Elephas maximus indicus: one gene and its partner. The protein of the gene in region 2 interacts with the protein of the main gene of each other region in a pairwise test. Links are inferred from orthologs where the notes say so. Each region holds a gene or a part of one and is shown on either strand. Other genes may lie near its edges.

The links. The genes of interacting proteins can lie anywhere in the genome.
Region 1: the proteins of RAB11B (region 2) and RAB11FIP2 interact in binary tests that used the Homo sapiens proteins (3 or more experiments, as listed by UniProt). The link is inferred for Elephas maximus indicus from reciprocal best matches to the Homo sapiens genes RAB11B and RAB11FIP2.

Annotation. Positions count from the first base shown.
Region 1 is NC_064834.1:68,771,747-68,779,439, forward strand, and holds the start of RAB11FIP2 (rab11 family-interacting protein 2), read right to left. Parts: upstream 3,048-7,693; 5' UTR 2,601-3,047; coding exon 2,248-2,600; intron 1-2,247. UniProt on the Homo sapiens protein: A Rab11 effector binding preferentially phosphatidylinositol 3,4,5-trisphosphate (PtdInsP3) and phosphatidic acid (PA) and acting in the regulation of the transport of vesicles from the endosomal recycling compartment (ERC) to the plasma membrane.
Region 2 is NC_064821.1:13,111,127-13,118,740, reverse strand, and holds the start of RAB11B (ras-related protein Rab-11B), read right to left. Parts: upstream 3,073-7,614; 5' UTR 3,002-3,072; coding exon 2,962-3,001; intron 1-2,961. UniProt on the Homo sapiens protein: The small GTPases Rab are key regulators of intracellular membrane trafficking, from the formation of transport vesicles to their fusion with membranes.

The DNA of each region.
Region 1 (7,693 bases), on a different chromosome or scaffold from region 2:
CTTTCTTGCAATACACCGGTGATCCAAGTCTGTTTCTTAACTGCGCCACATGTACAGCTGTGCTGGAAAAAGGAAACTATTAAATATATTAAAAAATGAGAAGTATTATCAATAAAGATACCTCATGAAGCACGTGGTCCCCGTTTATCCACAAAGTAGGAAAATGTTAAGGGCACAGTACCATATGAAAACCACTTTAATTGCAGCAACATCACAAGCCCTACTGATAATATTTAAAAGCAGTTTTCCCCCCAAAGGTCTAATGAATTCTATGTAATAGCCAGTATAGAATTGCTATAGGCAGAGACTCTGATATTAGTTAGAGTACTGCTCATAGCCAAATTTATGGTAATTACGGTGCTGCCAAAGACAAGGAGTAAAAACAAGAAGAAACTTTAAAAGGTTACTTCATCCTCAGTATCTTCGGATTCACACTTGGGCCTACTTTCACTTGGAAAATTTATATTTCAGAGAAGGCCTGTAATACATTATTCATTAATATTAAAAAGACTGTAAATGTAATAAATTTGAAGCTACGATATACTTCAAAGTCTAAAAACACTGTCACTTAAAACTGGCAATTCAATACGAATTATTTGGAAATTATCCATTTTTTGTTTTAAATCTGATGAACTCAGAGAAAACTGAGATGACACTTTTTAGGAATCAAATAGTTTTGATATTAAAGTCACTGAGATGTATTCAACTTTACAATTTTTTTTAACCTTTTCTGTTTCTTAAAATATCTTCATCTTAGTTTAAATGTTTACTATTTTTCCTCCTGAATTCCTACTATTTCTTATCTCTCTACCCTTTTACTCTATATAAAAAATCTTAGGTAAAGACCTCATTAAAAAAAAAGAAAAAGCCCAGTCAAGAGAAGCCTGCAGGCAGACATGCATAAAAAAGAACAATAGAGAATTTAAAACATAAAAAACTCATATAAACTTTAAGAAAGTTATTATTTTTAAAAAATTTTAAGAGAAAATAAATTCCTGACTGAAAGAAATATCAAGGCTGTCTTGGAAATTTCAAGATTTAAGTTCAACCTGTATTTTTCTCTCATTAATTGCATTAACCTTACTGTTCTCTCGGACCGGAAAAATTTTAAGTTTAGGGAAGCAGTGAGTGTATCTATCTCTGAAAACACACTATTTTTCACTTTAAGCTATGATATTCTATGTTAACTTTTATTATGGCTTTTTTTTAATTACAAAATATCTAACCCAAGCTTGAAAGTCATAGAAGACCACGTTTCCACTGAAAATGTCATTAAATCATTTAATCATAAGAACTGTCTCCAATCTTAGAACATTTAATATGGCCTACACACGACAGCTTTGCAAAACTAATTCTAACACAACACACTAGCTTCAACATATTGTATATTCAAAGGAAAATACTGTGAGTGTGTTCAAAGTTTAGAATGTTTGTACACACTTTTAAAACTTTTTTTTCTTAACAGCTTTAGACTTCACCAAGATGTACAGACCCTGAAAAATGGTCGAGTTAAAATAAAGACCAACTGTGTTTAGAGTCTTGAAATGAAATACTGAGTTCTAAATTTGGTCATTTATCTCTGACACCTTCAGAGTTCAATGTTTATATTAAAATGCTGTATTGGCAGATTTCATTTTCTGATGTTCCATTTTACGGAAAAGTTTCATGTTTAAAACTCATTAACAATTTACACATGTGAAGTTTTAGCTGTTAAACACTGCGATCCAATCCTTTTATAAATAGTGAAACAGTGTTAATTTGCTTAAAATCCGGTGCAAAATATTTGATTATTTAACAATGTTTACCTCAAACAGAAATGAGAGGAGAGCGGTCTTTAGCGACTCCATTTAAAAGTGTCTCTTCAACGACTATTTTTACTTCAGGACCATGCAAACAAATATGGTGCTTAAAACCTGGTCCTTTTGCAACCCCAAAACCAATGCCTCAAATACACAAATAATTTCCAAGAACAGAAAATCCATAAATAAGATATACTTAAAGTCCACCCACTGCCATCAACTCCATTCCCACTCAGAGCGACCCTACAGGACAGAGTAGAACTACCCCATAGGGTTTCCAAGGCTGTAAATCTTTCTGCCACATCTTTCTCCCGCGGAGCGGCTGATGGGTTCCAACCACCAGCCGTTCGATTAGCAGCCGAGCGCTCTAACCAGTGTGCCACCAAGGCTCCTAAGATATACTTAAAAAAAAAGCACCCCCAAATTCAAAATAAATTGCATAACTTACTCTGTTTTCCTTCTTTGTTTGTCCTCAAAGATGTCATTGAGATTGATTGCCACCTGCCCTAAAAATTTATCCAGCCCCACCAGGGACCTGTGCATAACTATGAGGAAAAGGATGTATTTCTCTGGATTCCCCTGCATTAGCAGCCCTGGTAGCTCAAAGGAGGCCTCTTCCTTCCAGACTGGCTCAAGGGTTTTCTCAGCTACAGAGGTGGAGTACTTCTCCTTGCCCAGCTGAATGATAGTGTACGTGTCATTGGTACCACTTTTGCCTTTGGGCTTGAGATCTTTGGCTTGGAGCACTGTGACCTGCACGTGGGTTGGAAACCACTTTTGGGCTTGCTCTGACAGCATCATTCTGCCCTTTTTCTCTGCTCCGAGTCCCCAAGCGCAGGCAGTGCCCCTCGCCGGGGGACAGCCTAATGCTTTGATCACTGCATCTTAAGGGCACTTAAGGGACACCAGGCGAACTCGGCGCTGGCCCACTTCCCTGGGGATGATGATGTCAAAACGCCAGCCTGGGGCAGCACGGGGGTACGGCTGCTCTGGGGGTCCCCTTTCCTCCGGAGCAGCAGGGGCCCACCATCACCTGGCCGCGCTCCAGGCCTCCCCGCGGACCCCCGCACCTCGCCTCTCCACTTTCCCGCTCCGCCCGCCCCGGAGACCGGTCTCGGCGGCGGGCGGCCCCCGGGCCTGCCGGCAGGTGAGACCCGGCCACCTGGGCCCGGCGGAGGCTGCAGAGGTGGCAGGAGGCCTCTTGGGAAGCAGAGGCTTCCGAGCTCCCCCTCCGCCCGAGTCCTGCGGCCCCAGCTCCCGCCGCCTCCTCGCGGCCCGGCCACCTCCGCCTGCCGCGCGCCGCCCGCCCGCCCGCCCCGCGCTCGCCGCGGGCCCGGCCCGGCTCCTCCGCCCGACCCGGGTAATACGAACCGCCGGCGGCCTCGCTCCCTCTCTCAAACCTCGCCCTCCTCCTCCCCCTCTCGCCTGGGCTCCTCCTCTCGGCGGGGGCGGCCGCGGGGGTGGGGTGGGGCGGGGCGGGGCGCGGGCGCCGGCAGGACGCCGACGGGCCCGGCTGAGGCGGCGGGCGCGGGGCCTGAGCTCGCGGGGCCGGCGGCTCCTAGCACCGGCCGGGCGGCGGCGGCGGCACTTCCGGGTTGCCCTTCTCCATGTTGATCTCGGGAAGGCGAAGGGGCGGGGCCGGAGGGGCCGCAGGGTCAGAGGTCAGCACCTCCCTGGTTGCCGTGGCGACCGAGGGCGCCGGCTGCAGAGCCACCCCTCCCCATGCTGGGTGCTGCTAGTTTGGATGCTGCACCTGATGCCCGCGCCTGGCACCGTGCTGGGTGCGGTGCCTGCAAGGCCAGGTGGAGAGCCCCGGGGGGGAACTGGGGACTGCTCCCGAGAGGAGGTAACCAAGGCCCCGGGACCTGCTGGAAACTAGCGAGAGAGCCAATTTCAATTTTTGAAGGCAGGGAACCCGTCTTGCTGTCCCCTGGTTGCCCGGTGCCTGGCACAGAGCGGGCGTTCCATCAGTGGTGGTGGAAGGAACTGGTCCCCTTTTTTTGACGGAAAACCCTTTTCCCCACACCCTTTTCCACCCCTCTGTGAAAGGAGAGAAACCTGTCAATAGACTGGAGATGACATCCGCACGCAGACGAAAGGAGAGAGGGAAGCAGATAACAAAAGATTCCAAGACTAACACATGAGTTAATAAAGATCGCGAGAGGCGCTGGACTGGAGTCAGAAGACCTGATTCCGATCTCACCTCTTCCGCGCGACCCTAGTCAAGTCATTTCCCCTCCTTCGGCTCCAGTTTTTCTTCACGGGTAAAACTGAAGCCTCCATCGTGTCTAAGACTCAGTGTCGACTCAGAGGCTCAGCATGGAAAGCGGCCCTCCCCTGTGGGCACTCACAGTCTGGTAGACTACCCAGATCATCTGGAGACCTTGCCCCAACTTGGAATGCCAAACCCACAGACTTTACTCCAGTAATACTCCTTTCAGCTCAGAAAGGCAAACAGCCCATTTACTTCATCGTGGGGACCTTCACGCGTGCCTTACCTGCGCTAAAGCCGAAACCAAATGGCCACCAACGCGGTTGGAATGGAGGGAGCTCTGTTCAAAGAAGAATATGGGGATAAATTAATTGTGCGCTTTTGGGGGTGGGGGGGGGCCGGTGCTAGCCTAATCCAGCGGAGAAAGTACTGGTAATGGCTGATGATGAGGCAAAAGCTTTGTACAAAGCTCCTGATGGACACCTCCAGAATGAGGCTGGAGATAGCTTCTGGGAATCTCGGTTTCCTTGTCAATAAACTGTAGATAAAATACCTGTTAAAGAGTTAAGACGAGTGGTATGAGATAGTGTACATTTCCTAGCGCAGTGTGGCACCTAATTCTCTATTTCCATTGGCCTCTCTACTTCTCAGTTATAAGGGGGACCTTTGTACTACCTTTTATTGCATTTACTTCTGTTGGTGTCTTAGGTAACAGCAAGGGAATTTCAAGCACAGGTATTATGGACTCTCCTCATAGAGCCTGGCATGCAGTAGGTACTCCAATTTATTGAATAACTGAATACCTTTTCTCCTTTACACAGATTTTGAGAGTAAAGCAACATGATAGATGGGAATACTCTTTTCCAACTTAAAATGGCTGTGCGAACGTAAGGCATTGTGTTCATTATTTTCAGGCAGGGTTTTAAACGTCTTCATTCAAGGAGGACTTTATGCACTCCATGTTTTCTCGGTGTCCCCATGTTTACAGGATCCTAGCTGCAGCATTTAAAACTCTAAGGAACAAAAAAAAAAAAAAAAAGGAACAGTGAAGTTAAAAAAAAGTTTTTTTTTTCTTTCCATTAAATGCTTTTTGCATGGGGGGATATGAAGACCCAATATATTCGTGTCACAAAGTCAGCTATACAGTTGAAGAACCTTAGAGGGGGTAACGTTATGCAGTCATTTAATCTCCTAGAGGGAAGATACTTCCCTGAGCCTGAAGGATAAGACTACAAACCTCAAAGACCACCCAGGTTCCAGCACATTCTTTCAGGAGTCTGCTGACACTTGCTAGTGTCTATAAATTTCCCTTCATTTATTATAAATTTCAATTTTTTAGTACTGTTTACCCATATAGTAGCTGGTGTGAGTTCTGTATAAAGTAGGCGCTCCCAAAAGAAACACTGGATTAATTTACTACCAAGATCTTCAGGGAGCCTAACTACAAGTAAATCTTGAATAATCCTGAGCTAAATACCATTTAGGATGAAAAGTCCTAGGTTTTAAGTCATTCAAATGAAATTTTACTATGAAGCATAAAAAAAGAGGCAGAATTTTCCATCTCTGGGAGCTAGTGTGTGAAAAGGCCATGTGTGGAAAACAGAACAAAACCAGAGTCCTACAAATACAGCATCTGGATCCCAGAGTGGGCAACTGTCAACTTTAAAGAGAAATAGTCTTAAGGATTTTTAAAGAGTTCACTGAAACAGTCAATGGTGGAATCTCATCAAGATCTCCAGGGAGAAATAATTCGACACCTGAAACTTACAAAAACAAAATAAACATCATAAAGTCAAGCTTAATTAAGTTTAGGATTTTTATAAGGTGCCTTTTTAAAAGTCTTCACATCTCTATTAAAGGTTATAATTAAACAATAAGCAATTATAATAGCGGATGTGTGTTTCTAAAGAGCTTAAATTGTTTGGTACGCTTTATTAATGATTATAAACTTGTTTACAAGTATCATTTCACTCATCTCTGAAACATAGCCATCTCTAGGGTGGAAGTTGGCAGCAGTAGTTCACAGCAACACAACAACACACTCCAACACAATTCAAAGAATACTCTAAAGGCAAGAACTGAACAAACTAGAATTACTAACATCTCTTCCTGTAGTACCTACATTTCTTTGGAGTTCTCCAAAACCTAGCTAGAGCCAAAATGGTTTAGTTTTACTATCTGGCAAGATCAGAAGTTATGACTTCATGTTTGTAAATCAGAATAAGAAAAACAGCATATTTTTGCTCCTGAGGGAAACAAACAAAATGGGCTAAAGAGAATCTGGAATTGCTTTATAAAAGTGAAATGATTTCCCATAGAAGAGTAGTTTTGTTGTTGTTGTTTTATTGTTTATATTAAGAGAGGAGCCCTGGTGGCTCAGCTGCTAACCAAAAAGTCGGTGGTTTGAACCCACCAGCCACTCTGAGGGAGGAAGACGTGGCAGCCTATCCATAACAATTTACAGCCTTGGAAACCATATGGGGCAGTTGTACTCTGTCCTGTAGGGTCACTGTGAGTCAGAATCAATTTAACGACAATGGGTTTGGTTTTGGTTTTGTACTAAGAGGGTAAAAAAAATGTCACTTGGGTCAAATATACGGTTGGCTCAGAGTGAAAAATAATGGCAATTACGTAAGCCCTGGGATCAAAGCAGTTCTGCCAAAATGTTTACTGGCTCTGTTTTAAATATTCTTTTTACTAATTTTAAGATGTGCATGAACGATAATTTAAAAAGGAAAGGATTGTATGTGTAAGGACAACATACCAGAATAGAAGACAGTCTTTTTTTTTTTTTTTAATCCTATGACTAATGAAATGTTTGGCACAATTTTTCCAAATTGGGGGAAAAAGTTCATATCGTAAAGGGAGAAAATCCTGAAAATTCTAACTTTAAATTGTCAAAATGCCTGCTGCGATGAATAAAAATGATTGGACCAGAAAGTAAAAATAGTATTTATTCCCTAATGGTGGAGCATTGTGCAGATGACAGTACTTTCTGAAGGGTGTACTTTTCAGTCCACTTCTGTAAGGGGACTCATTTCAAGCATTGTGGAGGATTTTTCCTTTGGATATCACTATCCGTATGAGAACATCTTGCAAATCTGTTGTAGAACAATTATAGTACTTTGTGTTCAAATGGCCCATTTGGTCAAGAGTGTTAAGATTCTCATTTTATAATGGATGGTAATTATTTTCCAGATGGGGATTCAGGGACCTAAAGATAGGAAGAAGTTTTCTCCAAGGTATCATTACAATATTCAGATTTCAGACTCATATGTATTTTATACACACACACACACACACACACACACACACAGGGTTCCCCGGGTGGTACAAACTTAATAATTAAGTGCTTGACTGTTAGCCAAAAGATTGGCAGCTCAAACCCAGAAGACAGGCCTGGCAATCTGCTTTCGAAAGGTCAGGGACTTGAAAATATGATGGAGCAGTTCTACTCTGCACTCATGGGGTCACTATGAGTCAGCACACACAGGTACACAATTCAAATGTATATAAAATTTATATACATATGACAAAGCCCCAGGGGTATATTGGAGATATGTGAATAGACAGATCCCCACGTCCGTCAAAAAGTTAAAACAAAAAACTATTTGGCTAACTGATTTGAAATTATATTTGCAATAAAGCAGTTTGGGGTTTTTTGGTGGTTTTTTGTTTTGTT
Region 2 (7,614 bases):
GCAGGGTTTTGTTCCTGCCCACCTGCCATATGTACGGCAAGTGATGGCGGTGGCTTCTCTCTTCCCGTCTCTCCTTTTTGATCGGGCAGAGTCACTTGTTGCTACTGTTGTTAGTTGCTGTCGAGTGTATTCCAACTCAGGGTGATCCCACGTGGGATGCCTGGGTGAAGCAAATGGCTAAGCGCTCAGCTACTAGCCAAAATGTTGCCGGTTTGAACCCACCTAGAGGTGCCTCAGAAGAAAGCCCTGGCAATCTGCTTCCACAAGATCACAGCCTTGAAAACTCTATGGAGCAGTTCTACTCTGACACACAGGGAATCGCTATGAGCTGGAATCAACTCAACAGCAGCTAACAAAAACAAAAGTTACTAACTGAAAGGTGGACAGTTCAAAACCACCCAGAGGAGCTTCAGAAGACAGGCCTGGCGGTCTGCTTCTGAAAAGTCACGACCTGGAAAACTCTATGGAGCAGTTCTACTTTGCACACATGGCGTCACCATGGTCCAAGGTCACAGAGAGCTTCCTTTCCCAAAAAATTTACCTGAGTGACAAAATGAGGGAACTTAAAGAAAAATATTCAACGACAGTAGATGGTCCTAGGATGGAGGCACATAGTAAGGTTAAGGTGACACCTCCTACGTCCATAGTCCGGGAAATGCTGATCTTGTGGGCTGGACATCCACTACCAAACCACCTCAAGAAGGTCAGCAGGGCACCTGCTCATGAAAGGAGGCCAGTGGGGGGGAAGGCAGCAAGGCAGGCAGGAGGGCCCCCCCGACCCCCCACCCCCCCCGCCCCGCCACCCCCCGCGCCAGCTGCTGCCGAAGTCACACTGGCGTTTCCAGGAAGCGGACTCTGGGGATTCATCCTGGGAACTGCATGGCCGCTTTGTTGCCCCTGACCCAGTAACTACTTCTGGGAACACACTTCAAGGAAAGAGCCCAAAGGGCAAAAGACGATGGCTTGCACAAATCCTCAGTACCGGGTTATTTATAACAATGAAAGGTCGAGAATAATCAGTACCCAATACACCGCAAGCTGACACAGGGACCTGGAAAAGTCCCGCTGCTCTGGCGGGGCCACAGAGGGCGGGTGCCCAGCAGGGATCTACAGAGTAGCTGCCTCTGTGTAGGCTGAGTGCAGATTGGACCAGTGTGACAGGACTGGAGGCTGGTCACTCGTCCCCAGAGGGTCCCTCCAAAGCACCCCCCAGCTTTAGGGTAAGGTCCCAACATTCAGGCCTCACTGAACAGACAGCTGTGTCTGCCAGCAATGCATCAGCCTGCTGGCAGGTCCCAAGCCCATGGGGCTGTGATGCTGCTGGGCCTTTGCACAGGGGCTCTCTCTGCCTGGAAGCTTTTTGCTGCATGGATACCCCAGGCAAGGAGACCTGCACCCCACTCTTCTCATCTCAAGGACCCCAGGCCTGGCCTCAAGATGACAGATGATACCACAGACACAAGAGGTGGCAAGGCCTGCTCTGGACACGGACCCCATTGGGAGCAAGATGCCCTCAGCTGACATGGGAGGCAAATCCTCACACAGCAGGCAGCAGGCAGTCAGCAGCTCTCTAGGGTGATCACTGTCAGCCAGGGAGCCCAGGAGAGCACCTGGTCACTGCTCAGCTTTGCATGCAAACCGCTGCAAAACCAAAAGCCAAAAACCAAACCAGTGCCTGTGGAGTCAATTCAGACTCATGGCAAACCCATGTGTGTCAGAGTGGAATCAGAGTAGAACTGTGCTCCAAGGCTGTGACCTTTTGGAAGCCGATCGCCAGGCCTTTCTTCCAAGGTGTCTCCGAGTGGGTTCAAATCACCAACTCTTTGCTTAACAGTCAAGCACTTAATGGTTTGTACCACCAGGGACTCCTGCAAAGCCAATGACCCCTAAAACAGCACAGAGTCTCCAGTGACAGGGAGGGAGTCTCCTCAGCTCCAGGGGCAGGATGAAGGAGCTCCTCAGCTGGTCCCAGCAAGCAATGGCTGGCTAGAACCGCGTAGGCCATACTTGGTGCTCCTTGGGCAGGGAAGATCCCCAGAAGGTTGGCCAATGCTGGTGCCATCAGCCTGCATGTGTTGGGAGGTGGTCTAACAGCCCTGAGTCCCAGTCCTGGTGCCAAGGCCCTTCAAACACACTCCCTAGGTTAGGGTTCAAAACTGCCTCTAATACTTACTAGCTGTCCTTGTCTCTCTGGGTCTCAGTTTCCTAATCTGTGAAAAAAGAGCTGGAGTCATAACGACCTTATAGGATTGTGGAGAGGATTTGAATAAATTTCTGTGTGCAAACTGCTTAGAAAAGACAAGATACTTGGTGAGTGCTATCAAGCATCTAGTATCATTAGTTCTGTTCTTCACCAGGTCCAGGTGCAGACACAGGCGCTCCTCCGCCCCATTCAGGATGTGCACCCCAGTCCAGGGTCGCCCCACTACGTACCTCACCTCGGACCCCCACGACGGCACACCCCTTATTATCCGCCCCACCCCTCGCGAGCCCCGCCCCCAACAGGCCTGGCCCAGCCCACCCCAGAGTCCCGCCCCCTGAGCTCAGAACCAGTCCACATCTCAGACACGCCCACCATGTATTGGCCCCGCCCCGAAGGCCCACCCTCTGTCATCCATCCAGCCCAGCCCGGCCCGCCAAATCCCGGGCGGCCCCGCCCCCTCCGAAGGCCCCACCCCAACGGCCTCTCCCACCGCTCCGGGCCCCACCCCCTCTGGGCCCCGACCCCGCCCCGGCGCATCCCGGGTCCCCAGGCCTCCCAGGGCCGCCGGTTGCTCGCAGCCGCGCACTCCGGCCTGGAGCTAACGGAACCCAGTCTGCCCGGCCTTCCTCGCTGCTGGACCTGACGGGTCCCAGGTCCCGAGCTCCGGCCTGGGCCCAACGGCCCGGAGCGCAGCCTCGACTCGTCTGCCCGCCGCCTCGTTGCCGCGCCCTCGCCTGTCGGTGTCCCACCGACCGCACCTTTGAATAGGTAGTCGTACTCGTCGTCCCGGGTCCCCATTGTCCTGGCGCTTCCGGCGGGATCGGCGACTCCGCAGCCCCACCACAAACACCCAGCGGGGGCGGAGCCGGAGTGGCACAGAGCGGCGGTCGAGTGGCCAATCAGCGACGGGCGGCCGAGCAACTGGCACCCGACAAAGCCAATCAGAGGCGGAAGCAGAGCCTCCGGGGTGGGCGCCGTCTGGAGCCCGCCCCCTTAGCCTTCTGTCTCCTGGAGAAAGGCGGAAGGAATGCGGACCTTTCTGAAGTGATGGCCGCACTAGCCTATCAGAGGCGAGGTCAGGAAGGCGGAGCGGAAGACTGGAGGAGTGAAACGGATTGACGGAGCGAATTACCAATGAGAGCCTTGCTCCAGATCCTGCCCTACTACCGGAGGACCCGCTCGAGAAGGGAAATGGGGCTACGTCCAGGTGTAGGAGGTGTCAGCGTCCCAGTGACGTCATAGGTCAGTGCACTCAGCTCTGGCCTCCCTACGTAAATGACCATTTTCGAGGGGCTGTGAGCGAGGTGATTTCCATTGCAGTTTCCATCTCTATATTGGTGACTCATGTGTCAGTTCTCTGTGCCTCATTTTCCTCCTGTGGATACCTCATGGGTTCTTTTGAGGATAGCTAGACTATTTCCCTGAACACATAAAAAATTAATTCACCACTTTTTATGTCATGAAGTTTTTGTTTAACAAATATATTATGAATCCTCACTGGTTACCAGGCACTCTCCAACGTGTCTTCCTGCCTCTCTCTGTCCCCTTACCCTGTTTTCCCCCCATAAGATTTATCACAGTTGTTAGTGCCATCGAGTCAGTCGACTCATAGTGACCCTGTATCACAAAAGTAAAGCTGCCCCAATAGGGTTTCCGAAGCTGTAATCTTTATAGAGGAGCCCTGATGGCGCAGTGGTTAGGCACTCAGCTGCTAACTGAAAGGTGAGCAGTTGGAACATACCAGCTTCTCCAAGGGAGAAAGATGTGGCAGTCGGCTTCTGTAAACTCTAGGGGGACAGTTTTGCTCTGTCCTGTGGGTCTCTATGAGTCAGTATCAACTTGACAGCAATGGGTTTGTTTTGGAGTTCGGTTAAAAAAAAAATTGAAGACATTAGTCTGCTTCACTTCTAAACATTGGTGTATTTAACTAGAGTTCGTTATTTGTTTATAGCTCATTTTGTGTTTTGTTTTTGTTATTTTTAGGTAAAATTTATAATCAATGAAATGCACAAATCTTAAGGGACATTTGCTGAGCTTTGATAAAGGCATATAACTGAGTAACCCACTTCTATAAAGGTAACCAAACATCACCCTCAGGCAGAAAGCTCCCTTATACCCTGTCAGTCCCCACTCTGCTCTTCCCATGTTGTTGTTGGTTGCCCCCAAGCTGGCTTAGACTCAGGGCATCCTGATATGTAACAACAAAACGTTGCCCAGTCCTGCATCATTTTCATGATCATCGGTATTTTGAGCCCATTATTGTTGCTATTGTGTCTATCCATCTCATTGAGAGTTTCCTTCATTTTCACTGACCCTCTGTTTTACCAAACATGATACAAACAGAAGAAATGAAGTAAAAGAGCTGAACAAAGGATTTCACCCCTCCTGAGGCTACCACTATTCTGTATTTCACCATAGATCAGTTTTTGAGCTAGAATTTTACATTGTTTTATCTTCATTGACCTTAACTTTACTAACCTATTTAAGACAGGTGATTTTGTTTTTTTCTTTTTAACATTACTAACCTATTTAAGGCAGGTGATAGTGGTTTTCCATTTGTGGTAGAGATATAAGTTTACGTTTTATAAAACTGGGTTGATAAGTCCCAATATGCCGAGAATGAACTTTACACCTTTCATCAGGCTCAATTATTAATAGCACACTTTCCACTCTCAAAAGTGTTCCAGTTTGGACTGTCAATTATAGGTCACAGAATCTCTAATGGGTGGGGCATTGAAGATCAGCTGTGTAACGACAAGGAGCTTTTTTTTTTTGTATTGTGCTTTAGATGAAGGTTTTCTGAGCAAATTAGTTTCTCATTAAACAATACAAATATTGTTTTGTGACACTGGTTGCCAACCCTGTGACCTCGGGTTTCCCATTTCCATTTGTCCAGCTTCCCTGTACTCTCCTGCCTTCTCCTCCTTGCCCCTGGGCTGGTGTGTCCATTTGGTTTCATATACATGGTGGAGCTATGTGTATTATTGTTTGTTATATGGGCCTGTCTAATCTTTGGCTGAAGGGTGAACCTCAGGAGTGATCTCAGTTCTGAGTTAAAAGGATGTCTAGGGCCCATACTCTCGGAGTCTCTCCAGTCTGTCAGACCAGTAAGTCTGATCTTTTTATGTGAGTTTGAGTTTTGTTCTACATTTTTCTTCAGCTCTGTCCAGGACTCCCTGTTGTAAGCCTTGTCAGAGCAGTCAGTGGTGGTAGCCAGGCACCACCTAGTTGTGATGGACTATGTCTAGTGGAGGCTGGAATGGTTGTGGTCCATTAGTCCTTTCTTAGTTATCTAGTGCTGCTGTAACAGAAATACAAGTGGATGGCTTTAACAAAGAGAAATTTATTCTCTCACAGCCTAGTAGGCTCGAAGTCCAAATTCAGGGCGCCAGCTCCAGGGGAAGGCTCCCTCCCTCTGTTGGTTCTGGGGAAGGTCCTTGTCATCAGTCTTCCCTGGTCAAGGAACTTCTCAGCGCAGGCACCCCAGGTCCAAAGGACAGCTATTCTCCTGGTGTTGCTTTCTTGGTGGTATGAGATCCCTGTGTCTCTCTGCTAGCTGCTCTTTTTTATATTTCAAAAGAGATTGATTTAATATACAACCTCATCTTGTAGATTGAGTTCTGCCTCATTAACATAGCTGCCACTAATCTTGCCTCGTTAACGTCATAGAGGTAGGATTTACAAAACAGGAAAATTGCATCAGAAGACAAAATGGTAGACAATCACACAATACTGGGAATCATAGACTAGCCAAGTTGTCACATTTTGGGGGGACACAATTCCCTTGTGGCTTGGTTTTCTTCATTTTTCCTTGCTCCAGATGGGGTGGGTTTTTTTTTTTTAATGATAAATATATATATATGTAACAAAACATTTGCCATTTTGACCTTTATTACATGTACAATTCAGTGACATTAATTACCTTCATCATGTTGTGCACCCATCACCACTATCCATTTCCAAATGTTTTCATCACCCTTAGCTTAGTATCCCCCTAAGCAATCAATCCTCCTTCCCCACCCCCTGTCTTAGGCTATGTTCTCTAGAGAAGCAAAACCAGTAAAGCATATAAATATATATATATTCCCCCGCCCCCATAGCTGTTGAGTTCATTCTGACTCATGGCGACCCTATAGGACATAGCAGAACTGCCCCATAGAGTTTCCAAAGAGCGCCTGATGGATTCAAACTGCTGACCTTTAGGTTAGCAAACTATAGCATTTAGCTACTACACCACCAGGGTTTCCAAATATATATAAGGAGAGATTTATATCAAGGAAACAGCTCCTGCGATTGTAGGGAACATCCCAAGTCTATGGATCAGGATAGAAGCTTCTATTGATTCACGTAGCTGCAGGGGCTGCAAACCCGAGACTGGCAGGTCAGAGAGCAGGGCTCCCACTCACAGGCTGTGAAGATGGACAAATACCAATAACTGCAGATAAGCTGATAGCTCAAGTCCCAAGAGCTGGAGGTCAAATGAACAGGAGGCACCCTCAGGATCCAGAGCTAGCAAAGAAGTCAGAACCGTCTGCTTATATTCAGATGCAGGCCACACTCTCAGGGAAACTCCTTTCAACTGATTGATTACTCACAGCAGATTCCATCATGGGAGTAAACACATATAAACACTGAGAATCATGGCCCAGCCAAGATGACACACAATCTTAACCATCACACCTCCTTCCCCCACCTTTCCCTGGTAAGTACTAACAAACTTTGGTCTCTAAACACTAGCCTGTTCTAGATATTTCATATACGTGAGATCACACAGTATTTATCCTTTTGCAACTGACTCATTTCACTCAGCATAGCGTTTTCAGGGTTCATCCATGTTGCAGCATGTATCAGAACTTCATTCCTCTTTATGGCTGAGTAACACTCCATTCCACTCCATTTCTTCCCATTGCATGTTTTCTTTATCCATTCATCTGTTGATAGGCGCTTGCATTACTTCCACCTTTTGGCTATTGTTAATTGTGCTGCAGTGAACAGTGGTGTGTAAGTACCTGTTTGTGTTCCTGCTTTCAGTTCTTCTGGGTAGATACCTAGGAGTGGAATTGCTGGATCATACGGTAATCTTATGTTTAACTTTTTGAGGAACCTCCAAAGTGTTGTCCACAGCAGCTGCATCATTTTACAATTCCACCAACAGTGAATGAGTATTCCAACTTCTCCACATCAGCATCAAAACCTGTTGTTTTCCATTTTTTAAAGACAGCCATCTTCGTGGGAGTGAAGTGATATCTCATTGTGGTTTTGATTTGCATTTTGAGGACAGGGATCTTTTTGTTCACTAGAGTATCCCAAGCATTTGGACGAAGGTTTAGCATGTACTGTGGTGGTTTGCATGTTGTCGTGATGCTGGAATCTATGCTACTGGTATTTTAAATACCAGCAGGGTCACCATG